4 linked regions of the Rhinolophus ferrumequinum genome follow. The protein of the gene in region 4 interacts with the protein of the main gene of each other region in a biochemical or structural test. Links are inferred from orthologs where the notes say so. Each region holds a gene or a part of one and is shown on either strand. Other genes may lie near its edges. The genes, in order: FGFR1, PDGFRA, WAS and PLCG1.

Region 1 (7,502 bases), on a different chromosome or scaffold from region 4:
TCCTCTCCCTCAGGAGGGATGGGACAATAGCATCTGAGAGGTTCCTTCTTTCTACCAGTGCTTTTGCTTCACGTGCTATTCTTCTAAGGGTGCATAACGGAACTTTCTAACATCCTCCATGGCCAAAGGCCAAGATAAAGAAGCACCCAAGACTGTCTGCTTGAGAACTAAAGGAAGTAGCGCCCACTCTGGCCCAAATCCCATTTGTGAAAATGCCTCCAAGATGGGCATTTCCACAAGCATGATAAAAGCAGGACGTGAAAGCACCCATGTCCAAGTGGCTATCCATCCGGATGGATGGCCCTTATTAAAAAGCTGACACTCAGCTATGACTAAGAGTAAGGCAACAGATATTTCAAGAAGCTCGTCACTGATGCAGTACACAACCATCCCAACTGGAGCCAGGCCGGAGCAGCCTCCCTGTCCCCAAACACACGGCGCTCCACCCAGGTCAGCGGCAGCCCTGGAGCTTCTCCCAATCAAGTGGGGCAAATATGTAAACAAGTCATTAGGGAAGCAGGCCAACAGGGCAGACGGTCGGCAATGGCTCTCCCTCTTGCCCTCGGTCACTGAAGGGAAAGGAGATGACCCAGGCTTCGAGGTAATTAGCCAGACCGAGGCACGTCCCACGAGGCTCTGCTACTTAGCTTTTCAACAAGCCTCAGGGAGCCTGGGCCAACGGGGGAAAATGGCCACTTTCTGCTAAACAGTCTCAAGGCTAAGGTTCTACAATTTAGATGGTATTCCAAAAAAAGCTCTGGTCCGGAGGTGCAAAGGGCAGGGCACATCTGCGGAGGAAACAGTCACCTTAATTACCATGTCTAGAGAAAGTGCGATTTCATTACAGCCTCCAAAACTACCGCCCAAAAGAGGAAACCAGAGAAGTGTTTTCAATTTGAAAGAGACTGGAAAGGAGAGGGTGAGAGAGACCAACTCTCCCCACCCTCCCGCGACTTTGGACCACAAGGTGCTCTCCTACCTCAAAGGACATTCCAAAAAAAAAAAAAACAACACACACACATACAAAAAACCCTCAACAATCCAACCCCCGCTTTCAAAACTGTCGCCGTTATTTAAATGGTAAAATGTCTCACTTTAGTTTCCGGGGGCTGCAGCCCATTTAACTCCTTAAAAACGCACAAGGAGCGCCTCTGGCAGCCACAGCCCTCGCCCCCCGCCCCCGCCCCGTCCCCGGCCGCTGCGCCGGGGGCTGGCTCCTGGGAGGGTGGAACAGGGACGCGCAACGCCACCGCCGGACTGCCCGAGACCCGACGGCTGGCTCTGGACAGGGTCAGACTTTTCCAGGGCTCCAACTACAACTGAAGGGAGAAGAAGCAATACTTGGATTCCAGAAACTTCCGTCAGGGCCAGTTCTGGGTCAGACCCTTGACCAAAAAATCCACCTCCTGCAGATGAACCGTTCACAAGTGCCACCCCCTAAAACCTTCCACACAATCGAGAAAGCACCACCACCACGAGATTCTAAATAACTTGCGATCCAGGGTAACTTTTTTCTCCACAAATCCCAACTCCACATCTCCAAATCGTCAGAAATTTTAAGGAGATGGAAAGGACAAGTTGAAGAAGTCCAGTTTTAATTTGGGGAAGGGGGAAGGGAGGAAGAATGATGTTAATAACGTGGCTGCGGTGTACCCGTGTGGGGTGAAACGGAACCAGATGCGGATGCTACGTGTGGAAAATGGGGGGTGGGGGACGTGTTGGGGGAGAAAGACACCGCAGAAATTTTTAAATAGGCTAATAGCTTCTGGGCCCAGAAAGAAGGAGGATTCACCCTCCCCACACACATACACGTATACCACCACCACCACCACCACCAAAGGTGTCTGGGCTGCCTTCACAGGCTACGTGTTAAATGAACTCCATCTACAACGTCAATAAATTTCTCCGCAAATGAGTGCTCTAGCCCCTCTTCTCCCAACCTCAAACATGACGGAAGGAGGGGGCGAGAGGCAGAGGGGTCTGGGCCAGAGAAGCAACATGCATCGCTGCCGAGTACACCGCACCGGACAAAACCCTCCATCCCTTCCCCCACCTCCTAGAAAAAGACTGAAACTGAACGTTCCCCTCCCCCGACCCCTTCGCGGGCCTTAACATCACCCACTGGGCGCCCTCACCATCTCCAAACTTCCAACCCTTTCGGAGATGAACTAAGAAGATAAGCCCCCTCTGGAAATGGGAATTCCTTTCTCGCTCTCATCTAAAGCGGATTCAGCCATTTGGTGACGACATACGAGTTAAAACCTATTCCGAGAGAAGCTAACCTACCCCTCCACTCCCTTCCCTCTTCATGCCCCAACCCACCCTCAACACGACCCCAGACTTTCCTCAGGTGGAAAAAGACTTAGAAGTACCCCGGATTTTCAGCGTTCCACCCAAAGCTACCTGCTGAATTGGGGTGAATCCCTGCGAGTGGACTAAAAAGAGATGGAGTGTAACGCAACACACACACACACCCCAGCTCGCTGCCCACTCCCGCCCTCCTCCCCAGTATTAGGACACCGAGGGCCGCCGCCGCCTTCGCCCCGGCCATGTCCCTCCCCGGACTCACCACGGAGTCGCCGCCGCCTCGCCAGCTCCCCAGCGCGAGTTGGCGGAAAAGTTGGTCGGCAGGAGAGCGGCGGGACGAGCGCGGGCAGGGGGCGCAGAAGGCGATGCGAGCGGAGGGAGGGGAGACAAAAGGGGGGCGCAGAGCGCTGGGGAGGGAGTTGGAAGATGGAGGGGGGCGGGTAACCGGCGGAGGGAGGCGCCGTCCCGACCCGGCTGCGGCGGGGTAAGCGCGCAGCCAGGAGGCTCCAGCGCCGGGGGCCGCTCGGGACGCCAAGTCCGCCCCGGATCTGGGGGCGCCGCGGCTCTTACCTCACTGGGCGCTGCGGTTCCGCCTGTGGAGAGTCCAGCGGTGGCTAGTGCGGGCAGGCGCCCGCGTTCCCGACTCCGGCCCCCGCCGCCGGGCTCCTGGCGGGGCCGCGAGAGCCCCGCGGCCGGCCCTCGACTCCCGGGGGCGCTCGGCGCCCGGCGCCTTCAGTCCGGGCGGGAACAATGGAGCCGAAGCTGGTGCCCCAGAGGCGGGGCGGGGGGGAGGGCTCCCGTCCACCGCCCGGGTCTCCAGACCCTGTGGCCCCCCCTCTCCAGATCCGGCGGCGGGCGCCTCACGCTTCTCGCAGCCCGGGCTCCATCGCCCTGCGGCGGCCCCGGCGCCGCGGCGTGCCCGACTGCAGTCCTGGTACCGCGCGCCCTGCGGAGCGCCCCTCGGACCGGAGAAAAGTCCGCGGTCTCCTCTGCTTCTCCAGCTGTGGCGAGCGATCGCGGCGGGGGAAGGCGAGGTCGCCGCAATGCGCTAAGCAGAGTCTCGGTCCTGTCCGGACGTTGCCGCCCAGCTCCGGGCACAGCCCGGGCTCCTCCGCGCGCTGCGGCTGGACCGGAGTTCGGCTCCCGCTCGCTGCCGCCCGCTGCTAGCCGTCACACCAGTGCCCGCAGGAGCGCTCCGAGCGCTTGTGCGCCGGCGAGGCGCGAGGGCTCCCTCTCCCACTCCCACCCCGCGCTAGTCCCACCTCCTCCTCCTCCCCATGCAGCTGCCTGCTGGCCTTGTAGTTCCTGAGCCTTGGCCCCCGAGAAGCGGGGAGCGGGCTGAGCTACCTGGCACTCTGCTGCTCTTCGCTTGCAGCCTGGACTGCATCTGAGGGCGTGTCCCCCGCCCCCATCTGAGCATCGCCTGGAGGGCGCCCAAATGCAGGCCCTGGGCAGATGAGCAGTATTGGGGGTGAGGTGAGAAGACGCTGTCGCCCTGAGGTTCTACGTGGAGGCGAGAGCTTTGAAGTCTGACTAACTGTATGCCTGAGGGAAGTGATTTTCTTGCTCTACATCTCAGTTTTCTCATCTGTCAAAGGGGGATAATAGTACTTTCCCTATAGAGTTGAGGATTAAATGGACTAGACGAGGGCCTGGCATACTCAATAATGCAAGCTATTTTTATTCATGAGAATAAAAGGGTCCCCACCTCAGATCCTTTCCTTCCATCCCACTTTCCCCAGCCACATAGTTTAGGTTTTGTGGTCCATGGGAAGCTAGGTCCTGTCAATTCTACAGCGCCATTCTTGGCCTCCAGAAGTCTCCAGGCTGCCATGAATGTTTCTGAAGCAAAGAGTGAGTGGGGGGAGTTGAGGGGTGGTGTTGGTTTGAAAATGAATCAGAGACCACCCAGAGTACACTCCAGTACTCTATGGAACCGGAGGGAAAGTGGCTAAAATGCCCTTTCCTTTGGATCCTTCCACAGAGTGGTAGAATTTAATGGTTCCCTAATCCAAATGGGCATGAGTCCTCTGGGGAACTTTGGAAAAATACAAATTGTTGCACCTGCTCAGACTTGAGGAATTAGGTCGTCCCAGGAAGGAGCAAAGAGTTTGTATTTTTTCTACAGATCCCATGGTGCCAGATTGGAGAACACCGGTAGGGTGAGAAATATGTCACATTAGGTATGAAAGATACCTTCATTCTGTCCCCTACTTATGGGCTGTTTAATTTTGGACCAGGCATGCATCTGCAAAGACATCAAGACTTATTTACATATTATCCCCAGTTGATTGGGACTCCCTTACTGTCACCAACACAGTGTCATTCACATAGTAGGAGCTCAGTAAATGTTATTTGACTGACCAAAGAGTAAATATTCAGTAAATATTTATTGAAAAAGTAAATAAATTTAAAACTAAATAAAAAGCAGGAACTCACATATTTGTGGACTACATGAACTTCTGCCATTGTTTATAGGCTATAAGCTATCTCCCCACCCTTCCACCCTTCAGTTCCTCATCAGGCTCTTTTTTTAAAATAAATTTTATTGGGGAACAGTGTTGTTTCTCCAGGGCACATCAGCTCCAAGTCATTGTCCTTCAATCTAGTTGTGGAGGGCACAGCTCAGCTCCAAGTCCAGTCACCGTTTTTGTCAATCTTTAGTTGCAGGGGCATAGCCCATCGTCCCATGGAGGAATTGAACGGGAACCCGTGTTGTTGAGAGCTCATGTTCTAACCAACTGAACCATCCAGCCACCCCTTATCAGGCTCTTTTTAAATCCTCCCATATAGGCTGCCCACCCATGCAGCCTTCTTCATTTTAAATAATTCTCATTCCAGGCCTTTAAGAAGGCAAAACTCAAGCCCCTCTCCCTTGGAGAGGCCTTCCCTGCCAATCCCAGCCATGTTGATCCTTGGAACCCCTACTGACCGTCTGGTATGATACTTAACATAACTTTGTTAGTTGTCTTTTTTACTCTTTCTCTCTAACTAGCTCCTAAACTGTATCAGGGCAAAGATTCCATCTCTGTATGTGACCTAGCTCAGGACTACTCAGGAGGCGTTTTATATATTTTTGTTGTTGGCAGACTTCATGGTGACCAGAGGAGGAAATACAATTTAAGGGAATATGAGTTGGGCACACAAGCTATGGAAAACCCAGCATTTATGTTAATACCCAACCACTATTTTCCTACTTTATTACTAAAAGACATTATATCACCATTCCTCTCTAAGATTCTTCTAAGCCAGGGTTTTGTTTTTGTTTTTGTTTTTTAAGGAGGGCGAAGCTCACAGTGGCCCATGCGGGGATCGAACTGGCAATGTTGATGTTATCAGCACCACTCTCTAACCAACTGAGCTAACTGGCCACCCCATAAACCAGGGGTTTTTAATCTAGCCCTTTTTCTTTTGATTTGGAAGCATTTTAGGAGTATCTTGAATACAAAAGAGGAGGCTGAAGAATGTGCCCTTGATTTAAACAGAAAGAGAATGATCTAAATGCTTGTCTGTTTGATGTTAAGTAGCCTAGATCCGATGCTGAACAAATTTCTCTACAGATTAGCAAGAAACCGAAATGAAAGCAAGTGTCCAGCTTGATAGCTCTCCCTCCCCCAGCTCTCAGGGAAACACCCAAAGACAGTGGAATGGAAAAGGTGAGAAACCCTGAGAACGTATGGGCCATTCACACAGACCACAGGCACGGCTCCTGAATAATTGAGAGCTGCCCTGCTTTTATCCTTCCGGTCTGCTCTCCTTCCATGCTGCTCCTCCCCCTCCTCTTTCTGAAATGCAGACCCTTCACTTCGGGATAGGCTCTAGGCCAGTGGAGAGAGAGTATCCCCAGGGTGGCCCTGACCAGCTCCAGGCAAAGGAGGTCAGACAATCGCTCTCTGCCTGCCTCTGTCCTGCTCTGAGGCCTCCTGGCACCTTGCCTCCCCACACAGAAACGTAATCTTCCCTCTGAGATAACAAAGAGCTGGGAGGGTCAGGGAGGATTTGTAGGCCCCTTGCCCTGCCAGCTAGACGTCTGAGGGGGAGACAAAGGCCCTCACGCTGGAGGACCTGATAACTAGTTGGGAACCTGTTGCCTCCCAGATCTGTGGAAGGAGGGGACCGGTGCTGAATGAAACAGAGTAAACAGAGCTCTCCCCAAAGCCCGATCAGTTCTCTTTGTTTGGGAACACTGCACAAAAACTTTTCCCTTTTCCTTCAGCTATTTGTGTCCTCAGAGTTCTTCCACAGAGAAGGGAGCTCCTCCTCTCCTAGTGTTCCCCTGCTCCAACTGAGTTTAGCTATTTCAGGGCCCTGCGGTTCCCACCCCCTACACTGGGTTGGTACTACACAGTTAACACCTGCCTGTTACAGAAGTGGCAGGAGGCAAGCGACATCTACCCTGGGGCGAGGCTGGGCCATAGAGCTGCTCAGGCTGGCTTCGGGCTTCGGGAGTCCCTGAGACTGGTGGGAACCGGCAGGGGCTCAGTTTTTGAGGCCTGGTTGCAGGAAGGGATTCAGGAGGAGGGAACCGTCTGGGTTTTTCCCTTACAAAGTGGATGTTCACAGGTCCCTAGGAACAGGTGGGCAGCCAAGCCTTTTGCCCCAGGGCCCCTGGAGTTAAGTAGCAGCAGTCAGTTACCATCTGGCTGCCATTTGGTGACCCCTGGCTGTTCTCAGCACAGTTTCAGCGTATCAGGGAAGGGAGGATCTTGTTTGGCTTGGTGTTTTTGTAAATAACATTTCACTCTGTCCTACCAACTGGGAGTGGGAAAGGGAGCTCGGCAGCAGTGGCAGCTAAGCTTGTCTGGCCCTAATGCAACATTCATTCACTGAGCATTGGGGAGGAGGGTGACACATTCCACTCATGTGTCAGGCACTGTGCTAGGCATAGTGGATCTCAGATGAAAGAGACAAGGGCACATCCTCGGGAGAGATGAAACATTGCAAATCATGCCACACCAGGGACACTTGCAGGGTGTTTGGGGAGGAGAGATCAGGAAAGGAGACAACTCAGGGGAAGGGATGCCTGAATCTTTAAAGATGACAAACAGCACGTGACAATCCACGCACTCATCTGGGATAATCGAGGAAGACAGACTAAGAGTAGATGTGGGGGTGTTGAAGCTTCTGTAGTCTTTTGTTCTGAAGGAACAGACTCACATAGTAAGTGCTCAATAAATGGTAGCCATTGTTGCTCT
Region 2 (7,099 bases), on a different chromosome or scaffold from region 4:
TTAGCTCTTTGCCCAGAATTGTCACGTTTCCATCAGCGGCGTGTAACCTTGTCGCGGCTCCACGGAGGCCAGAGGGAGTCCCACCCGCTGGGGTTTGCGGGAAAAGCGCTGGCCACCACGTCCCCAGGACGCGTCCCAGCGCTGCGCGCCGCCCACGGCCCGTCCCCAGGAGGCACAAAATGGGCCTGCCTCGGCGCCAGACACTTTTGCAGCTGGAAAGCCCTGCCTGATGCCCCTCCCCCTCACCCCTCCCCAGCCCGCGCCCTGGGAGGAAAGTGGACCTGGGGCGGAAAGCGGGGAGCCGGGGCTCTCTTTCGGGTCCTCCTCGGTCTAAGGCTTGTGCAAGGGCCGGGAGTCAGCTACGGGTCTCAGCCTCACCTCCTTCTGTCTCCCCCGCAACCCCGCTCTTAGGACTCCAACCCTGGAGTCCAGCTACATTGAGCCAAACCAAAAGCAAGACTACGCAACAGCCCCGAAGCAGAGAGGGCGTCAAAGTGAGACTGGTCGTGCCCTCGCCTATCGGGGAGCAGAGGAAGGGCCCCCTTTATCGTGAGGACCGAGGAAAAGAGGAAGCCAGGGGGTGGGGGAGCGAGGGGAGAGAGAAAGAGGGAAGGGATGCAGCAGCAGCACCAGAATGCGGGTGGGTCAGATGGCGGGGTGGGGGGTTGTTGTAAAAAACCACAGCCAGCGCGGCAGCAGAGGAGGTGCGCCGGCCCGGGGCGCCCACTTCCTCCGCTCCAGCAGCCCTGGGCCCACTGGGCTCTGAGGTGTTAGTGCGCGGAGCTGGGCGACTGTCTTGCCTGTTTGCCCTGGATGCCTCTCCCTGTTCTAAAAAGCTGCCTAGCTCTGGTTGGGAGCGAGTATGGCGAGGCGAGACGGTCCAAAGGTTGAGCAATTCGGCTGCAGAGCCAAAAAACCATTTCCCACACCGCCCAGCCCCGGGCTTTTCCAGGCAGCTCAGCCAGTCGCGGGGCAAACGGGACCTGATAATGGCCATCCACCCTCTGTCTCCAACCCTTGTTTGCCTCTCACGCAGACGAGTAGCACGTTCTTCCAGGCACTTTCTGTACATCCTGAGGTCTTAGCAGGGTAGGAGAGCAAAGTACGGGACCCGCGCTCTGGCTGCGGGAGAAACGGACAGGGGATAGACAGCCCAGCACTTCCTTCTCGGCCAAGACGTTTGGCCAGGCCACTGGCAGCTCCTGCACACCTGGCCAGGTTGCCGGGATTCCTGGCCCCCTCCGGCAGCCGTACTCAGATCTGGCCGCGTTCCCTCTCGCTCTGAGCTGGCCGCGACCACCCTTTCCTAAAAGAACCGCTGATCCCAGTTGTTTCCGCGCCAAGTGGGCGCCGCCCGCTCCTTTTGCGCTCCGGGGAGAAGTTAATCTCACGGGTAAAAGCCGATTTCCTTGGAGATAGACCTCGGAGGAAGGAGGGGCTCTAGGAGACCGCTCTGCAGGGGGCAGAGAGGCCGGCGCAGGGAGCGGAATAGAGACTGGAGTCACTGGAGAGGATGAAGCAGCGCAGGACTAGTGCAGGGGGCGAGTGCCACGCATCCCAGGTCGTAAAGGGGCATGCAAGGGAGGTCTTGGGCTCAGGGGCCCGGAAGGAGGCAGTGAGAGTGGTTGGCCTCCCGCTTGTCTTACCTGGAACCAAGTTTCTCCGTTCCGAGTCATCCCTCACTTCCCCACAAGAAGTTCAGCGCTTTTCCTGGCGACCTTCCTTCTTTCCTTTCAGCGCCGGGACTGGGCAGCAGAGCCCCGGGCTTTGCAAGAACCAGTCCACGGAGGAAGGGGGCGCACAGCTACGGGTGGGGGTGGGGAGTATAGCGCACAATGAGGGCCCCTTGGAGCGCAGTTCTAAATTCCTCAAATCCGGGTTGCTGGAATGCGAGGCGACGACGACTTCTTCACTCGGGGCCAAATGTGTTTGTCATTACTCCAGACGGCCTGCCCGCCCGCCCGCGCCGCCGTCGCCCCCGCGCTAGGGCGCGCAACCCGAGCGCACTGCGGGACTGGCGCCCGTTCTCCCTCGCACTTCACTAATCCCACAAACCGCTGGGGAGCTCCCCAAACCCGCGCCCCCTCTGCTCGCCTTGGAGCCGCCACGGTAGACCTGAGTCTGGCCCCGGCTCGCACCCGGCGCGGAGCCGTCCAGTAATTACGCGCCCAGAGCCGGCGCTGTGTGCACCCAGTGGGCACCCAAGGTCCGGCCTCCTCCAGCCGAACCCTTCACTCCTCCCCTCCCTGCAACCCCTCCTGCGCCCCACTCGGCGCTCTTCTCACTCTCCTCCCCCGATGCTCCAGCCGCACTCCACGCCACCGGCTTGCAGCGTTGTCCCGCCAAACCGCGAGCGAGAAATGAAAATACTCATTAAAAACCTGTCGCCTTCCAGGACCCACTGCCAAAAAGAAGGCAAACACCTCTGCCCCCACTCTCAGCACTACTTTGGTGCTTGTCCCAGTATACACTACTAGTACCACCCCCAACCCCAAAAGAAACCTCAAAAATGTAAGCCTAAACAATTTCTTTGGGAGGCCATAGAGTTGTTAGAAAAACACTGCTTTTAAAAATAGATCTGGAAAATGTGGGGTTTTTTTTAATCCCTAGACTTTCGAACTCTATGGCTATCTTCCCTCCAAGTGAAGTTTATTCAAAATAAGTTATTATCTGGACACACGACTGGAATTCAATTCCAATTTTGTTTTGTTTTGTTTTCTCATCGCCCAAAGTTTGAGTGAAGCTACTTCACTTCTAACCCAAAGGGCCTGACAGGGACTTCTCTTAGAAACAAAAATCATTTTTTTCCTTCTCCCTTACCTTCTCTTCCTATGTCAATTCGCAATGAAAATCCTACATATGCAGTAAAAATTGTGTCCACGGCCTCCAGTCCTCCCCTGTAGTTCCCTCCTCTGTTTCTCTCTCTCTCTAGTTCCAACTGTAATGGGCTCAAAAACCGCGTTTTGTAATTGATTCAATGTTATAGTCCATCCTTCTAAAACTAATCATTTGCTCTAAGTAAATAGCTGTCAGGAAATGAAGCCCCCCCCCGGGCCTCTTCAAAATAAAAGTTTCCTCGAACTGTGCGCTCTGAAATCTCCCAGCCTTCAGATTGCGCCTTCGCGTTTCGCTCTTATGCAATCAGGGGGTCCAGCCCCAACCCCCAGACTTCGACAACTGGGGAGGGGGGCGGGGAGAAGTAGACCAGATGGGGTGGGGGTGGTGGAAGGGGGAGGTGTTGATGCTTAGCTGGGAGAGAGGTTCAGGAAAATACAAACTGCCCATCATTTCTAGAATGAGTTTGCCTCCTGATTTGGGGGTATTTCCCTACTCTGCTATATTGCTTAGTATTCTCTTCGAAAGGAAGAAAAAGAACACGTAAACTTGCATTTAATGCCCAGAGAGAATATAAATCTGAAATCGAAAAGTGTCTCTTCTGTAGAAATTCCAAGCCGAGCTAGATATAGGGCCCTCGGCAGAGGTCTCCTAGCGGTTGCGTCGTTTTGAACCTCGGGTCTTTTAGGGAAAGGGCCAGGTAGTTGCTAATCTTTTAATGGGATTAGACAAACTGTTGAGTCCGATATGATGATGCTGGCTTTTTGTTTTGCTTTGTTTTTGAAAATGGGTTTGAACAAGGGTACAAAGAATCGAGCGTCTGCTCGATTTAGACGTTAGGAACGTTCTCGGACAGAACGACCTTTACTCCCTTGGAGCCACTTATCTTGTCTTGCCTTTGTTTTCGGGGTTATCTGGGCGAGGTTGCCCTGGCTTCTATCACGTACACAAAAAGGTTTAGGCTTGGGCGTTTGGAGAATCACCTATGACAAGCCCTCCACCTCCGCGTTCAGGGGAAGGGTGCATTTTGACCATCATCCGAGCGCCTTCCCGCCGCGTGGGTCAGACCCTTCCAATGCCCTGGGGTTGAGAGCGGAGCCCCAAACCCTATTCCCAAGGCACCAGGCAAGAGTGCGGGGTGAGAACGATCCTGCTCGCTAAGGAAAGGGGGCGCTGACGCTCTAGGAACCAGCCCTGGGCGGAGTGGAGCTTTCGAGAGAGGGCGGGGGAGGGGAGCGCATTCATCTCTTCGCCTTCTCTAATTTTGAATTCTCTTGTTGGGTGTAGGGGGGGAGGTGGTCATCCTTTGCACCCACCCACCACACACATTCTTCAGAATGGCCTGGGCGGCCAGGTTGAGACAGAAACGTCGGACTGCCATCACCTTTCTCCTTCATCAGGAGGGTGGACACGGGACAGCTGGCAGGGGAGGGTCACCGAGAAGTACTGCAAGGGTTGCTGTGCTTAACTGGGACGGGCTCCTGGGGTGTCAGGATCGGGAAGACGCCTGCGGCTGAGCTAGGGGCCTTATTTCCCAGCCCCTCTGAGCGCCGGCCTCTCGTGCATCTTCAGTTTGGGTGACTGCACTGCTCACTATTACTTCCACATGTTCTTTCAGGAAATCATTGAAGGCAAATATATGAACAGTCCCTTGTTCGGAATGCTAACAGGATACCGTAATGTTTGTAGATAACGAACGAGAACCAACGACCCCAAAAATATCAGAGTGCGGAAAAATAGGAAAAAGCGGGTACTGGCTTTCATGCGATTGATAAAGACAAGTTGATATCTAGGTTTTTATACCAAATACCCAAGAGGGTAGGAGGCGAGGCAAGGAGCTACCCAGGAAGGCCTGCTCTGCTACCGGGAAAGTGCTAACCCGGTCTCAACAGGGTCTCCTGCAAGCAGGACCCCAGCCCTCCCCGCGCACAAATAGTAACTTCACAGTTCCTTTCAGAGACTCTTAAGGGGGCCTGAAAAGGGGGCTGGGCGGGGGTGTCTTCGGGCCGTAACTCCTCGCGAGTTTAAAGCCCAGCGAATGGATGAGCAAGTGAGCACCCAGTTGTCCTTCTGGTAGTAATTACCTGCCTAATTTGAATGATGCCTTTGTTATGATCATTAACAAACATTTGCTAAAGGTTTCCATGTGTGACATTCCAGAAGGTTTAAAGGCTTGGGGAGCCGACTCCCCGGACAGCGCTCTGGCGGGGGGTGGCGCAGGGAAACAAATGGTTGGGGGAGGATTTCGCCGAGTCTGGGGCGAGCAAAGATGGAGAAGAGGTCAACATCTGCCTTCCCTGCCGAAGCAAAATAAACCCAGTGGTCAGGAGCAACCTCGGGGCTGGAGGCCCACGGAGAGAGGCGGTTCTTTCCTGAAAACGAGTCCTGCCCGCAGCCCCCAGCCGCCCGCCCCTCCCATTGCTAATAGGCGAGTTTGAATTTTGCCACCCGCCCTCCGCCGCTGCTTGGAGACTTGGGGAGAGGTCGGGTCTGCGCGCGGCAGACTGCCGGGGCGTCGGGGGAAGGTGGGGCCGGCCAGGCCGCGTTCTGCTCGTGTTGTTCTAAGATCCTTCCAGATTGCTCCCCTGTCGCCCGGGGTCCTGGGTGGTCCTGGAGCCGCAGCGGGCAAGAAGCGGCGCCGGGCCAAGACGGTCTGCGGGGTCTTTTCTCCTCTTCCTCGGCTTCTGCCCAGGCCACCAGGGGGGACCAGGCCCACCTGTGCTCCCCGAGGAGTGACCTTCGCCCGACTGGGCAGCTGGGAGAAGGTCCCAGTTCGCACCAGGATTTTGGTTTTCAACCTCTTGTGTGTTTTCCTTAAGGGAACATCATGGGGTTAAGAATGAGGGTTTTCTCCCCAAAACGGGAGCCTGAGCTGCTGCGACCCTCTAGAAAGGAGGAGGCCCAACTCCGGAGCTCAGCTGGGCTGGGACGTCGGGGGCAAGCGGCGGTGCTGGTGCGGCTTCGCGCGTCTAGGCCCGCAGGCAACATGAAATTGGCTGCGAGGGTATAAAGAGATGTAGTGGAGCCAGCCATCAAAAAAAAAAAAAGGCCCCACAAACTTTTTACAACCAAATCAAAATGGTCACTGAAAACAAAAACAATCTCCCCCAGCCCTGCCTCCCAGACTTGCTCTTTCGGCCCCCGCCCCTCGGTAACCCGGGCGGCAGCTCTGGGCGTCACACCTACGGCTTTGGTGGGCGTTTCCCAGTGAGTTGGCTTTTTGTTTCTTCTCTACTCCTCCTTTGCTGTCAGCTCCACCCCCCAATTCTACTTCCCTCGGAGAATTCAGAAGGTCTTTTGCCTTAGAAGACCTGTAGCAGTTATCGAAGCCGTTGGTTGTGAAAATCACATGTAAACAAACGTGATTTTTTTGACGGGGTAGGGGCAGAGTTCTAGCTTCCTGATTTGAAGACGAAGGGCCGTTTGGTGGTTTGCCAAAGAAAACGGCGCTAACTGCCCCTTCCCCCACACCCTTCAATTCTTGATTGCGAGCCGCCTCCCCGGGCCCAGGGAAGGCACTTTCGTGGGGAAGACTCGGAAGAGGCTTGTGGATGTGACACATAGATGTGGGTCTCCCAGGGGAGCCCGGCGAGGCCTCCGCCTTTGCCTCGGGTCTGAACCAGCTGAGGCTTGAAAGCTCGCTCCGAACCTCTGTACGCTCAGAATTCAGGGATCCCCAAGTTGTGGACAAGGAGTTCGAAGATTTCTCCAAAAGTGTCCCCACTGGCGTGTGTAACTTTGGGTGACAGTTCTCTCCCTAGGGCTCACTCACCTCCTCTTCTTCCGTTTGCTGGTTGGATCTAAGGGCGTGGCGTCTCTTCAGGGTTCCTGGGGGCTCTCGCTCTAGAGATGTGTCTCCAGGGAGTAGAAAGCAATTCCCTGCGGCTGGGGAGCAGCCGAACCCTCTCCTAGGGTTCCTAACACCCCTGCCTGCTTAGTGACCTCAGTGAGGACCAGAGATAGTGAGCCCAGGTGGGCCTGCACTCCTCAGAGGTGGGAAAGAGGTGGGTGTGCATCTGGAGTTTTGATACCATTTTCCCAGGAGAGAGCCCCACTTCCTCAATATTTTTGTGTCTCCTACTCCCCTCTGCCTCTCTTTCGGCCTTAGCTTTTAGTTACTTTTAATTTGAAAACCCCTGTAAGGGGAAGAGGAGGGACTGAAGAGATTGGGAGGTCTGCTCTCTATTAGGGGCCTCAGCCATCCAGCTTTCCAACACACAGCTGTGGCTTGGGAGGAGAAGGAGGGCTGGCTCTGTTTAGGTCA
Region 3 (7,023 bases), on a different chromosome or scaffold from region 4:
GTGTGTGTTTGATGATCATGGAGGGAGTGGGTGAGGGGGTCCAAGGAGGGTTTATGGAAAAGTGGGTGGGTGGGTCCCACACACCATTCATACGTTCACTGATTCATTTATTTATTCATTCACTTATGCTTATCACTTAAGTATTGACTCATTCATTCACTGGCTCACTGACTAATTTATTAAATTATTCATTCACTCACTCACTCGTTCCTTCCTTCTTTCATTCATTCAATCATTGCTTCTTTCACTGATTGAAATTTTATTTCACTTATTCAATTATTTACTGTTCGGTTCATTCAATCACTCACTCACTCATTCGTTAATTTACTGAGTCATCTATCCATTCATCCACTTAGCCACACACCAATTCACCTATGCATTTATACACCCACCTATACATCTATATATCTATCTATATTTTCATCCTCCCATCAGTGCGTCCCCCCACTCGACCATCTACCCACCACCAATCCATCCACCCTTCTACCCACCCATTCACCCACTTATCTCTGCACCCACCAAATTACTCATTCATCCACACCCTAACCCACCCGTTCACCCAGGGACATGGAAGAATCAGCACTCACCCCCTTGGTCTCCACCTGGGTGGAGGGGCAGGGGTGGGAGCCCTCCTCTTCTTTCTGGGAAGATGGAATGGACAGAGAGCTATCACAACCCTGCCACGGGTTCCTGGGCTAGCCGGCTATTACCCCTACTTGCACTAGAGGACTCACCTTCACTGGCTGGTGCTGGTGGTGGGGGTAGCTGGCGTCTGTCTGTGGAGAGACAGGTGAACTGGGAACCAGAACCATGAGGGGGCTTTTCCAGCTCCCCACTCTTGCATTCACTTCTGCCCAACCCCCTTTCCTCCTCCAAGGCCTCCTTACCTCCACTTTGCCTCTGATTCCTTTTTTGTATCTTCTCCTGTACCAGGGCCTGGAAGGCCTGGGCCTCACCCTCGTCTGCAAAGTTCAGCCCCGCTTGGCAGTCCTGCGTACACCTTGGGGTCAACAGCCTCCCAGGCCCATCCCCCACCTTTCCCATCTCCTCCCCACAGCCCAACTGAGGCCCAGGGGTTGGGTGGTCACTTACGTCTCCAGCGAAGGTGTGGAAGAAGGGGGTGGGAGTGGAGTAGACCAGCTGTGAGTACAGCTCCTGTTCCCAGAGCAGCTGGCCTGCCTGGAGAGGTGGGGAACACACTGGCACTGAGACATGTAGGGCAGGTCTCTGTTATCTGGGCAGGGAACATGTGTCCAAATTTGGGGCCCCAGGATCTGATTTGGAGGTTTCCAATTCGGCATCAGAAGAGTTGGGGGTCTAGGGGTCAGATGTGGAGGATTGGGGTACAGTATGGGAGTTACACATTGCAGTGAGATCTTTGAATTTGGGGTTTGGGATCCTAGCTGTGGAACTTGGGGGCTTGGATTTGAGGATTTGGGGCTCCCGTCTTAGGAAACTGAGCCCATTCTAGACTCCATCCCATACCCCCACGATGGGGGCCTTCATTTGGGCAGGCAGGGCTCCAGTATTTGGAGTTGGGGTTGAGGTTTGTGGAGCGGAGTTTTATGGCTTAGGATTTTGGTATTTGATGGTCCTGGGATCTTGATGTGGTCATGCTGAGTTCATCTTTATGGGTTTAGAAGGATGAATGGGAGGTATGTGTCTGGGGAGTTCAGGTTGGGGGTTTGTGGAACAGATTCAGGAATGCTGAGGTCCAGGCTGTGGGTTTAAAAGGACAGATTTGGAGTTCGACCCAACGGCATATTCAGGTTGGGGATTTGTGGAATAGATTTATGACTTAGGAGCTGGGCAAACATCTGAGGTCCAGAAGTTTTGATGGGGGATTCCTGAGACCCAAAATGTGGCTCTAGAGCAGATTTAAGGTGCAGGTAAAACTATAGTTCTCATTTTTGGGGGGAGTTTGTGGAACAGATTAGACTTAGGAGGTATGCTAATACGTGATGAGGTATATATGGTGACATAGAGACTCTGGAGTCAATCATCGCAGACTTAGAAAGGCAAACCAGAGTCTGACATCTGGATGAAGTCTTTGGTTCTGGGGTCCAGGGGTTCACTGATCTGTCCAAGGGTTCAGGGCTATGGACCCAGATCTTGTTTGTGGGTTGAAAACTGGTTTGCTTGTCCAGTGAGGAATGGGGATCACCTGAAGGCCGTAAAGGCGGATGAAGTATGACTTCTGGGGGTTATCCTTCACGAAGCACACAGCCCCACAATGTTCCTTGGTCCAGCGCTCAGCTCCACGGGGCAGCGCCAGGTACAGCTGAACAACCGCAGTGGCCAGCGTCTGGGAAGGGAGAGCGGAGTTCAGTGCAGTTTGGTCAGGGGCAACCAGAGGGTCGGAGCCAGACCTGGTCCTTCCTTACCCACGGCTGTCATAGCCCCCAAGGAAGGGCCACAACCAGAGAGAAAGTGAACAGACATGGAGATCTCTCCGGGATTGGTGAATGGGGATAAATGGATTCTAGGAGAGGAGATGATGGAGAAGGAAAGGAGGAGAAGAGGGGAAGAAAGGGGAGGAGAGGGGAAGAATGGGGAAGATAAGGTGAGAGGAAAGGGAGGAAAGGCGGAGATGGGGAGGATGGGAAAGATGAGGAGGAAGAGGAGGAAAGGGAGAGAGACAGGGAGGGCTAGGTGATCCCCAGCTCACCCAGCATTTCCGTCCGAGCATCTCGAAGAGTCGCTGGTTCTCATGGTCACGGAGGAGGGTGGAGGGTATGTTCTGCTGAACCGCCGACGATCCACGGCCCCCAGGCTTGCCTCCTGCAGGGCCCCCACTCATGGTGCCTCCTGCCCTTGTCCTCTCCAGCTAGGCTCTGAATGCAGGGTAAGAAGAGGAACTTCCGCAGTGAGCAGGGAACAGGAAGTACAAAAAACCACAAGGGAAACAAGTCCTCCAGGGGCCCCTCGGTGGGCCTGGCCTCCTCCACCCTAGAACAAGCTTGGACCCTCTACCAGATTGGGGCCCTCCTCCACTTGACTGGTTAAACTCATCTTTTGGACCAGTTCATGTCTTCCTCCTTCTTTTTTACTCTCTGGGGCCCATCTCCCTCTGATTGGCTGACAGCAAGAGCTAGGCCACTACAGCACTTCCGCAAGGCATGCTGCAGCGGTGGGGAACAGTCATGGGGCTGGGCAGCCTCCTTCCTCCCCACAGCACCCAGTTAGCCTGGGCCTAGGGTTCAAGGCCCCTAGTGCTGAAGAATTACTGTGCTAAAACATTTCCTTTAATTACACAGTGAGCACCTGGGATCCCATCCCTCTCCTGAGACATCCAACAACGCAGCTCACTTCCCCACCCCTTACCCCTGCCTCCCTGCAGCTCCCAAATTACTTTCTACATATCACCCCTTTTTGAAGAAAGGAATTTTATAGGATATATGAATGCCTAAATATCTTACTTCATTTTCAGTGCTTTTGAACTTTTGAAGTATGTAATCTTCAGAGATTTGCTTTCTCTCCACTCAATATTTTATTTTTATCTATCCAACATTCATGTAGTACTGAATGTATGCCAGGCACTGTTCTGACCCCTTTGTAAATACTCATTTGAATCCTCTTAACAGCCTGTGCGACACACACTATTACCGTGTCCATTTGACAGAGGAAAATGAGAGAACTGAGGCAGAGTGGTTAAGTGATTTTCCCAGTAGCCCCCAGCCAGCAAGTGGGAGAGCCCAGATTGCATGCCAGGCAGGCTGGGTCCAGAGGGCACACTTTTCATCACTATGCTCCACACCTTCTGTCTGTTACTAAGATTCGTGTTTGCCTGTAGCAGTTATTCATTTTTTAGTATATGAACTGCTATATAGTATTCTATTGGGTGACTGTACAACTTTTTTTATCCGCATTCTCCTGTTAACAGATATTTAGGCTGTTTCTGGCTTTTGCTGTTGGGAGCAACACTGCTGTGTTCCCTCCTGTACACATTTCTTGGTCACGCAGGCATCCCCTCTCAGGAGGGGAGTCAGGGGGCTGGAGGGTTTGCATGTCTCTACATGTACCAGAAAATGCCAGACTGTCCCCGAGTGAATGCTAGCTTATTCCCACTCCTCCCTGGGCCTCAGTCTTCCATGGGGGGGGCGGGGGGACGCAAAGCTCTCAGGCACACATAGAGCAGTTTGGGGGAGCTGAGCCGGTCTGGGGTGTGACTGCCATTCCTGGGTACCTGAAGGTCAACAGCACATCTCAAGGTGGGACACACAGTCCTGCCTGGAAACCTGCTGGGCTCCCCATGCCCCCAAGTTCAAAGCTTCTCTCCTAAGCCTAGGTTCAAAGTCCCTTCTTGTGTAGCAATTCAAGCCAACTTCCCTCCTCTCCCCCCTCACAATTTAGTTTATGGTGCCACCAACTCATCAGGTGATTTCCTTCCTCCAGGCCTGAGGCACCTTCCAGCTTGTCCATTAGGGCAAGCCCCTGCTTTTCCTTAAAATGCCACTGCATTCATTCATTTTAACACTACTCATTGAGCTCTAAGTGCCAAGCGTATACCCAGTATCTGGCACAAACTAGACAGTAAGTAAAGGAATGAATGAGGGATTAATGTCTAACTGGTTAAGTGTTTTCTGAGCTTTTTCTAAATGCCTTTCATGTATTAACTCATTTCACATTCACAGACGACACGAAGCACTACTGTCACCCCCATTTTACTGGTAGGGAAGCTGAGGCCCACAGAAGCTTAGCTCACTTAAGATCACACAGCTTGTGACGGACGGATCAGAGGCCAGTTATGTGAGCTCCAAAACTGTGAAGTGCCACATGGGGGCCAATATAAAATTCTTCTGTTCCTTTTCTGTCTTTTGTGCTCTTCCTCCCTACTCCTTCTCTCTCTGACCCTACCTCTGTCCCTTTTAAGTCGCCATCAGGGGGCCTTAAACCTCTGCTACATTTGCTGGTTGCTGTTTAAATTAACATTTAAAAGTTTTATATTTTCTGTTCTTACTTCTAAGTGGCAGACAGGTTTAAAATTTTTCTCTAAATAAAAAAGCTAAAGTAGATTTTTATTTCAGTCCCTGAAATAAACTCAATAGAATGAGTTTCTCCATCTTAAAAGGGTGATTAATCATCTTAATACCATTTATCATGTTCAGATTATTGAATTACTCTGTTGATCTGCATTAATAATTTGGAGTTGGTTTATTTTATTGTTATGTGTCCCCATCTACTCTTGTTTTTCTGCACTGAATGACAGTATTTGGGGAGGTGATGACTTCAAAGGTTACTTGCTCTCCTGGACCTTCAAATAGATTTAAAAAGAACAATACATTAGTCCAACCTTTCTGGCTGCTCTCAGCTGGAGAGTGGGTCGAATACAATTTACTCCACCACAGCTGGGAGCCGAAGTTCTACCTTACTTCTTAGCAATCCAGTGAATGCCCAGGAACCCCCAAGAACTAGGATGTGCCCAATAACTTACGTTCACCTAATGTTCCCTCACCACCTCCCTCTGCCAATCCCCCCAGGGGTTACCAGATGGAGAGTCACTTCTTGTTTATATCCTGTGCTTCTTTTGCTTTATTTTGAGAGGATATTGCCTACAAGATCGAGCCTCAAGTCCTAAGTAGGTAAGAAGACAGAGGGGGTGTCTCTCATAACTGAATCACCACTGTGTAACTGAGTCCCTGGAGGAGACATAGGCATTGGGAGGTTGCTAAGACCAAACTGACATCAAGATGGCAGAATTCCCATTGCCACATCATCCTTCTCCTCCCCTTACCTTCCAGCCCCTCACAGTCCTCCATGTCCATGAGGGCTCCTTCCTGGGGACAATCCCACCCTAAGGAAACAGAAGTTCTCAACTCTCCAACCCAATGCTCCCTTTTAATAAGAAACCTTTGGGCAGGCCTCCTTTTACCATCCTGGAATGACATACATTCATGGGTGTTACAAGTCTTGGTGGTGTGGAGCTGTCCCCCAGTATTTCGGGCCCCTGCCCATTCAATGCTGAGGCACTCCCATTACTCTGACAACCAAAGTCTGCCTACCAGGCATTCCCAAAACACGCCCCCAGAGCAGGAAGGATCAGGACCCTTGTCTGTCTTCTTCATTGGCATATCCCCACCACCCTAGCACAGGACCCTGCATTCAGAAGCTCAACCAGCATTTGTTGAATAATCATTGTACAGTCTAGATTTCTATGCTTCAATTTACTGTCCTCTTCCCACAAGGCCCCTCTGTCATCTCTTCACCCCCATGCCTAGGGGAAGGGGAAAGAAAAACAACTCAACTCCAGAGTGTGCAGGGGCCAGCCCCTCCCACAGAGATGTTTACATTGTTTACTGATGCTAAGGGCAAATGGGTGCTTTAGGAACCGTCAGGGAAGGGGCTGATGTCACGCGGGGTGTCATGCGGGGTCTCTGGTGCTGCTCCCCACATAAGAATGCAGGACAAGGTGAGCCCAAAAAGGAACACCCACGGAGCCACAGATAGGGGAGTCATACCACTATAGTCTCGCTGGTGGCTGGGTTGGAGACACAGGAAGCAGGTGCCACACGATCCACAACCTGCCGTCCACTTCTCTGCCCTCCAACCCCACTTGCTAACTGCAATCCGCGCTTGCTAGCTCAGCCATTGCAGTTATATCAGTGGCCAATGGCTCAATGGTTACAGCTGATGGCCATCTACTACTCGAGCCAGCACCTTTCCATGTGAGGCCAAGAGCCAGGAAACTGCTCTCTGGGACTCTGTCCCCACAGCTGATTTCTAGTCCTGGTGGGGGTGGAGTGAGGACAAGGTAAGCACAGAAAAGCAGAGACACCTGTAGAAATAAGAAAGGTTCAGTGGTTAGAACCACAGATTCTGGAGCCCTATAGCCTGGATCTGGCACTTACCAACTACTTAGTCTGGTAACCTCTCAGTGCCTCAGTTCTCTCCTCCATAAAGTGAAGACAGTAATAGCAGTTAAGGTTGTTGACTAAACGAGATAACTAATGTACAGTGATCAGGACAGAGCTTAACATGCTAATTATGTATTGTTGTTTTTATGAAATAGCTAAGTTACTTGGA
Region 4 (7,505 bases):
AATCAGGTGTCAGATGTGCAAATCTCCATATATTTACTCTACACACTATTCTACATGGTAGGTGGGTGGGTAGGTAGATGGGTTGGGGCAAAAAAACCCCCTTTCCTACCCTTTTCCGGGTAGTGATCTAAGTGAAATGTGAACTCAGTTGCCATCCTCCTCCCTTCCTGCACTCTCAGACTCTCCTACACCCACACTCCCCCTGCACAATATTCACAGTCCAGGGTCTAGCAGGGCAGTCATAATCTGTTATTGTCATTATTAACAACAGCTCACATTTACTAAGCATTGATCATGTGTCAGGCACTGTGCTAGATGTTTTCACATCAATTTTCTCATTTACTCCCCTGAGCAACCACATATAGCGGATATGTTATTATTCCTACTTTACAGATGAAAAGTAAGGACAGGAGAAGATAAGGAACTGACTGGGGACACACAACTAATATACAGGCCTCAAATCGAGCCTTGCCTTCAACCCCTGGGCTGCACTTATTACCTGCTGGTTACATGCGTGGTTTGAAATGCAGCCTGTTGTTACCCAGGAGCTCTCTATCTGGGAACCTCCAGCCAGGGACCCCATTTAGGCACAGCATAGGGATCACCACAGAAGCAAGAGAGGGGCTGTGTCTGGACTCTGATATGTGGGTGACGTTCCCAAGACTATCTCAGCTTTCTGCAGTGTCTGTACTTCCTCCACTTTGAAATCCAGTCTCTCAAATCACTAACATTTTCTCGCAATGGCTGACAGGGCCAATGGGGGCATGGAGATGGAGGAAGACAGCTGCCATTTCTAAGGTCAGCAGCTGTGTCAGATCTGGAGTTTGCAGTTGAGGATGGCTGCCTTACCACAAGGCCTTCCTTCCTCCCAATCTCCTCACCCATCTACATGCATATACAGCATGTTCAAGGAAGTCTGTAGGACCTTCCCTTGGGGGTGTCAGTTCCCGACCACCCTCCTATACATGGACCGAGTTCTGAGCCTGGCTCTGACACCTGTCTCTGGAGGGGGTGGGGGGGGCGGTCCTTGCAGGAAGCAACCCACAGCCTGGGGTTGTGACACATCATCTCTCACACTTGGAGGCGGGGGGGGGGGGGGGGGGGGGGGGGGGGGGAACGCAGGGCAGAGCTGGGTGCCCATCCGGCCACAGCACAGGCATGTGCTAAGTGGAATAACACTGAGAGATCTGGGTTTTTTTAAAAATCCCCAACTCCCTCCTCCCAACTCAGACCTGCACAAAAGCTGCCATGCTCAGGCCCGGGAGAGCACAAAGGTAAGAAATCAAGAGTAGTAGCTCCTGGCTCCCTACAGCCACAGGACATAAAGGGCTAGACCCCAAACTGGCTGCCCGCTCATGAAAAGAGTATCTGACTCCAAGGCACTGAGGCTGGCCTTTCTGGGGTCAAGTAGTTGAGACTGAGCTTCCAAGGGAAAGGGGAGCCTGGATCTTTACCAAGAGTCCCTGCCCTGGCTTTGGGTGTCTGCTCACCCACACAGACCTCCAATATTCAGCTTCAGGACAAAAGCAGCAGTAGGAAAAAGCAGCCACTGCCTTCTCTCAGGCTTTTCCAAACCAAACAAGACCACCTTCCTCCTCCCCAAGAGGGAGATGAGTAGGCCCGGCTCGGCTCCAAAACCAGCCCTACTCCAACATCTGCCTAAGTTCTACTCAAAGAACCCAAAGGTTCTTTTGCAAATAAAAGCCCAGCCTAGGGGCCCAAAGAGTTTCACCAAGACTGCTCTTTTTGGAGAAAAGGTGGTGAGCGGCGACCATCTGGTCTCACCCCAGGTTCAGGGGCTGGATGGGGGGCGCCGCCTTGCCTCCCCTCGCCTCTGTGGACACCACTCCCGGTGTGTGGGAGACCCGATGCCTGCCCCGCTGGTCTCCAACTCACTAGAATTTTTAGGCCTCTGGGCAAAGCGCCAGAACACTCCCCCCAGCTGGGGGAGGGGGTGTCCTGTCAGGTGACTGAGGACCCGGATGCCCCCCGCCCCTGGTGACCACCGGGACCGAGGCGGGGGCGGGGTCCGGAGGGTGTGGGGAGGGACGGAAAGTTTGTCCAAGTCGCTCGGCGGCCGCGGGCGCGCGGGAGGCGGGCGCGGATCTCTGCCGCCCCCGCGCGCGCAGCGGGCCCCGGGGAGGGGTCGCACTTACTGGCCCCCTCGATCTTGTCGGCGCCGCGGCTCCACGTGATCTGCCGAGTCTCCAGCTTGACCTGGAAGGTCTTCCGCTCCGGCCGCTGCGACTTCTTGGAGTAGAACAAAGTCATGACGGTGCCCACCTCGAGGCTGCGGCAAAGGTGCAGCACCTCGGCGTCCGAGGGCGCGCCGGGCCCGCAGCCATTGGCGCAGGGGGACGCAGCGCCTGCCATGGCTCCGGTCCTGGGGGCGGTAGAGGCTACGACAGCGATGCAGGCCCGGCTGGTGGGAGCAGGCGGCAGCGGCGGCGGCTGAGGCTGCCGGCGAGCGGGCCCCGGCGGCGGCTCCTGCGGGCGGAGACGGGGCGGGGCGGGGCCTGAGCGGGGGGCGGGGCGGCCCTGCAGGCCCCGCCCCGGTCCGCGCGCCGGGAACAAAGACGCCCGCGCGCCCGTGGGGAGGACCCCCGCCTGCCGCCCTCCGCGCCTGCGCCCCGCGACCCCCGGCGAGGCCCCGGGCGGGGGCGCAATGGCGGCGGGAGCGCGCGTGCCGCTCGCGGTCAAGCCCCCACTCCTCCGTCCCGCAGAGCTTCCTCACGCGACCCCGTACACAGCTGCGTGGCCACAGTCGACCCCGTCACGCGCGGTAGCCGCTCGGCGGCCCCGCAGTGAGTCGCACACGCACAGGCGGCCGCCCAGCCCACTGTCCCGCTCAGGCCCAGTCGTAGCTTTTTCCTCACCCCTACTCCCCGAGCACCGCCCGCGCAGCAACCGGGTAGGGAGGTGAGGGCGCGGAGCGTCCCTCGGGCCCGCCAGCCAAACCCAGTTACCTGGGCGGGCTGCCCGGCGGAGGGAGCCAGGCCGGGCCGCCTCACACCGGCGGCGGCGGCGGGTCTTCTGCGCGCCCTCTCCGGGGAGGGGCGGGGGCGGGGCCGTCTGCGGATTGGCCTGCGGTCTCTGATGGACAGACGATCTAGCCCGCCCCTCCTCTCTGGCCGCGCAGGGCTGGCCCGCAGGCCGCAGACCCACCTCTGTCCTGCTCCTGCGGCCAGTGTAGCCTTCGAGGGCCCTGTAACTTGGAGAAGCCCACCAGATCTGAGCATCTCCTGCAGGGCCTTTAGACCTACAGCTCCCAGTGGCCTTTGTCTCTGTCACCTCAGCTCACACTCCGTGTCCACAAGGCAGGAGGTGGTCTCAGGTCCTACCTCATGGTGACCCTCCTGTAAATGCTCTCCTGAGCTTTGGTTTTCACAGCCCGACTCCTCTTGTTTCCCTCCTCCCTCTCTGGCTGCTGCCTTTAGGCCTCAGAAGCTTCTCTTCCTCTCTGCTGGGTCCTGAGCCAGTTCCCAAGGCGACCTGTCACCCCCAACCCAGGCACCCGCAACGTCAAATCTGTCTCTCTCCTGCATCCCGTCCATACTCTCTCCATACTCCGCGTCCACACTTAACACAGGCATTTCACTTCTTCCTCAAACTGCTCTTCCCACCGTCTTCACTTTCTCAGAACATGGCACTAAATGCTAAGGTGCTTGGGCCAAAACCCTTGGAGATATTCTTGATTCCTCTCTGCCTCAATCCCACACACACAGTAATCCATCAGATCCAGTTCACTCTGCCCTCAGATATCGCCACTCCATCCACAAGCCCAAGGCCCATCTTTTCTCACTCAGACTATTTACCCTCCTTGCTCTTGCCTGCATCTATTCTCCATGCTTTAATCTTTAAAATTAAATTACATCATGGTCCCCTACCTCCAGCCTCAAAGCCTCCATGATTTTCCATTGCACATAAAATCCACACTCCCTACCTGGCCCAACAGGTCCCGTATGGTCTGGCCCCTTTCTCTTCTACTTCATCTCTCACCACCTCCCCTTCACGCCCCATTCTCCAGCCACAAAGCCTTTTTGTGGTTACAGGCTGACTGTTTTAGTGTGCCTCATTTGTTGGGCTTCACAGGTGTTGTCTTTAACAAACTGAAGGCAAGACCCCCCACTTGCAAAAAGATTACAGCTCCCTTTATCACAATACGAGCTTTATTATGGTGATCTGGAACTGAACCTGTAATATCTCTGAGATATGCCGGTATGTGAATAATGCACACTCTTTTGCCTTCCTGAAGCCATTCTCTAGACTCATCCCTGCAATCTAGCTGCCTGTCACAAAGAACCGCCAACACCGAAGACACCTGTGGTCACAGTGGAACCGGTCAGACAGATATCGAGCAAGGCAGAGCAGGGCAACTTACTGCAATTCAGAGGTGAGAGGCCCAGTGGAGCACCCAGCTGATGCCAGAGACAGATCCAGGCTTCCTGGAATTTGTGCTCAGGCAACCCACCCAGCTGGGTGGTGACTAGTGTCTGGGGCTGCCTCTTGCGGTAGTGGTGTGTGTTTTGTGTGTGTTTTGATTCCCTCTCAAGTGCAGCCCCTAAGAAGCTGAGAATTCAGCCTGAAGTTGAGTCGCCTGTCCTAGGAGGCTTCAGCCACCTGAGCGGAGGTGGAGTGGCTGAGATGGACTGCCACCTAGTGACAGGCTTTTAAAATGGAAGGGAACTAAAGTTGATCTAATGACTTGCCCAGAGATACAATGCTTACATATGTGGTCACACCTGATCCTCATAATTACCTTCTAATCAGGGATTATTTTCCCTAATTTACTTACGAGGAAACTCAGATTCAGAGAAGTTCTATAACTTGCCCCAAGGTCACAAAACTAAAAAGTGGGGATTTGAACCCAAGTCTGTCTGACTCCATGCATTTTCTGCCTCACAAGAGAGCCACTGCCTTAAGTAGGACAACAGTCAGTGGGCATGGAGGCTAATTGGGATGGGTGAGGGGAAGACTTGGGCATGCGTGGCCCTGAGCACAGGGAACTCAGAAAACACAAACGCTCATAAAGTGTGGCTTGGGCTTAAAATGGTGCTGCCTCTGTCTACAGCTCCTGAGCTTCCCTGTGCTAGGCATTGGTGCCATGGTTTGGAAGAACAAGAGAAACCCTGCACCGGCCCTCCAAGAATTCACAGACATTAAACAGATAAACACTCTCTTATGTAGGCACAATTGTGATGAGGTCTACAGAGGGAAAGAACTGAGGGCTATGAGATAAAACATTAGAGAGCCCTACTTCAGATCTAGTAGACAAGGAAGACCTCTTTAAGACTCAACAGAGGCCTAAAGGATGTGAGTAGATGGCCAGGTGAATTATTAAGGGTGGGTTGAAGGAAAGGAAAGTGCTTTCCAGACAGAGGTAACAGCACGTACAAAGGCCCTGAGGCTGGAAAGAGCTTCGCGAGTTTAGGAATAGAAAGAAGGCTAGCGTTTATCTAGTGCAGTGGAACATGTGGGGTAATGAGGCCAGGAAGACCGGTGGGGCCTGAATGGGGCTCCTCCCTGCCTTTCTGATCTTGTCCATTTTTCTAGGAGGGCCCCTCCCAACTCCTATAGCCTTCCTTGAGCTTCTTGTGCCAACTTGGGCAGCCTGCGGGCTGTGATGCACTTTTAAAATCTGTTTTGCTATTTTCTGAGAGCTTCCCAACATGCAGCCCATGCTTCCTTGCTTTTGCTTGCGTTTTTGATTCTCAGGCTGGGCCCCCAGGAGCTCCAGAAATCCTTGCCAACACGAGCTCATATTTTCAGTCTGCTGCCAGGCCCTTCATTAGGAAACAGGGCCCCATTTCCTCCTGGGATTTCTGAGCCAGCATCCCAGGACTCAGGTGCCTCCCTCCACCAAAGGATGTTCAGGAAAAGCAGGGCACACAGAGGGCGTGACTGGGATGGGCTTCCCCCATCTCAGCATATATATGGGTATGTGGGTGTCACTGGCAATGCGTACAGCTGCACTGGCTAGGAGGGAGCAGCCCAGCACCCACACAAGGCACATGTCTGTGACATCACCCAGGCTAGTCTTGCCTGGGCCTATTTCTAGCAACACTCATGCTTCCACATGCCCGGTCTACCCTAATACTTGTGCCTGGAGTCTGGGGAGGAGTCCCAGCCCAGTTGCCCCTCCGGTCCTGTGGGCCTGACGTCACAGGTGTTTATTTACCAAACACTTAGAACAGCACTTAGCATAAAGTAAGTCCTACATAACTGCTTTACTCACATAGGCTCATTTATTCATTACAGCACTGAAAGTATGTTCTTTTTTTCTTTTCCCCCTTCTTCCACCTACCCTCCAACTCCGGTTCAAGCCATTGTTTCTCAGTCTAGTTGTGTAGGATGCAGCTCCCTGGCCCATGCTGGTATTATGAGCTCCCCCAGGGCTGAGGCAGTCGGTTGCCGGTCGTGGGTCGGCTCCTCACAGCAGCTCATGACAGCCCGCGCTGGTTGCCGGCCGCTCATGATGGCTACTGGCCGCTCATGATGGCTGCCGGCCACTCATGCTGGCCACCGGCCACTCCTGGCAGCACACAGCAGCCTGCGGCAGCACACAGTAGCCCACGGCAGCACACAGCAGCCCGCAGCAGCTCCTGCCAACCTCTGGCTGCTCATGGCAGTCCAGCTCCAGGGAGAGCTGTTATTCACAATGTTAGCTGTAGAGGGCGCAGCTGGGAATCGGCCCTTGTGGGAATCGAACCAGCGACCTAGGTATTAGGAGTACAGAGCTCCAACAACCTGAGCCACCGGACTGGCCCAAAGTATTGTTCTTATCCCCATTTTACAGGAGAAAAACTGAGGCATGAAGAGATTAAGACATGGTCATGGACATATAGCTAAGAGGTAGCAGCGATGGATTCAAACCTCAGCACCCTGGCTCCAGAGTCAATGCTATGTTGCCTCTCATGCAGGTATGAACGTTTTATTGTGTATCCTCACCCCTTTCCATAATACCCCTACTTAATGTTTTCTATTTTTAGTTATTTGGTTAATGTTGTCAAAGGTTGGGGGTGTTTTGGAAGCAGACTCTGACAGAGGTTAGTGTGCAGAATGTGTTCTTAGGGAGTGCCCTTGGAAGGGAGAGGACGGAAACAGGAGGAGGTACAGAGGGAAGTTAAGCTGTGACACAGGCCAATCCCCAGGGAGCCCACGTCAATCAGCCACTGGATGTGGACTGTCCTGGGAAAAGCAAGCCTTGGCCAGATGGCTTTCCACAGCTGAGGTGACCTTGGGGGACTGACAGCTTTCCCAGCAGTGGGGCAACAAGTGCTTTCTTAAAGGGGAACCTGGATGGCACATCACTACGCTTACCACAAATGTATTCTTTTCAATCCGTTGAAAAAAGTTTAGGCCGGTTAGCTCAGTTGGTTAGAGCGTGGTGCTAGTAACACCAAGGTTGCTGGTTCCATCCTCACATGGGCCACTGTGAGCTGTGCCCTCCTTAAAATAAATTAATTAATTAATTAATGAAAATAAAATAGCTTTTATAAAAAAAG

The links.
Region 1: the proteins of PLCG1 (region 4) and FGFR1 form a complex in vitro, tested with the Homo sapiens proteins (4 studies listed by BioGRID and IntAct, with this or other methods). The link is inferred for Rhinolophus ferrumequinum from reciprocal best matches to the Homo sapiens genes PLCG1 and FGFR1.
Region 2: the proteins of PLCG1 (region 4) and PDGFRA form a complex in vitro, tested with the Homo sapiens proteins (2 studies listed by BioGRID, with this or other methods). The link is inferred for Rhinolophus ferrumequinum from reciprocal best matches to the Homo sapiens genes PLCG1 and PDGFRA.
Region 3: the proteins of PLCG1 (region 4) and WAS form a complex in vitro, tested with the Homo sapiens proteins (2 studies listed by BioGRID). The link is inferred for Rhinolophus ferrumequinum from reciprocal best matches to the Homo sapiens genes PLCG1 and WAS.

The regions. Positions count from the first base shown.
Region 1 is NC_046287.1:61,188,152-61,195,653, reverse strand, and holds the start of FGFR1 (fibroblast growth factor receptor 1), read right to left. Parts: upstream 3,017-7,502; 5' UTR 2,878-3,016; intron 2,710-2,877; exon of another isoform or gene 2,570-2,709; intron 1-2,569. UniProt on the Homo sapiens protein: Tyrosine-protein kinase that acts as a cell-surface receptor for fibroblast growth factors and plays an essential role in the regulation of embryonic development, cell proliferation, differentiation and migration.
Region 2 is NC_046288.1:16,595,723-16,602,821, reverse strand, and holds the start of PDGFRA (platelet-derived growth factor receptor alpha), read right to left. Parts: upstream 3,003-7,099; 5' UTR 2,821-3,002; intron 2,207-2,820; exon of another isoform or gene 1,908-2,206; 5' UTR 1,677-1,907; coding exon 1,647-1,676; intron 165-1,646; exon of another isoform or gene 1-164. UniProt on the Homo sapiens protein: Tyrosine-protein kinase that acts as a cell-surface receptor for PDGFA, PDGFB and PDGFC and plays an essential role in the regulation of embryonic development, cell proliferation, survival and chemotaxis.
Region 3 is NC_046284.1:85,909,925-85,916,947, forward strand, and holds the start of WAS (actin nucleation-promoting factor WAS), read right to left. Parts: upstream 3,007-7,023; 5' UTR 2,801-3,006; coding exon 2,669-2,800; intron 2,306-2,668; coding exon 2,165-2,305; intron 1,180-2,164; coding exon 1,093-1,179; intron 991-1,092; coding exon 888-990; intron 777-887; coding exon 735-776; intron 642-734; coding exon 588-641; intron 1-587. UniProt on the Homo sapiens protein: Effector protein for Rho-type GTPases that regulates actin filament reorganization via its interaction with the Arp2/3 complex. Important for efficient actin polymerization. Possible regulator of lymphocyte and platelet function.
Region 4 is NC_046306.1:15,662,948-15,670,452, forward strand, and holds the start of PLCG1 (1-phosphatidylinositol 4,5-bisphosphate phosphodiesterase gamma-1), read right to left. Parts: upstream 3,013-7,505; 5' UTR 2,877-3,012; intron 2,488-2,876; 5' UTR 2,374-2,487; coding exon 2,157-2,373; intron 1-2,156. UniProt on the Homo sapiens protein: Mediates the production of the second messenger molecules diacylglycerol (DAG) and inositol 1,4,5-trisphosphate (IP3). Plays an important role in the regulation of intracellular signaling cascades.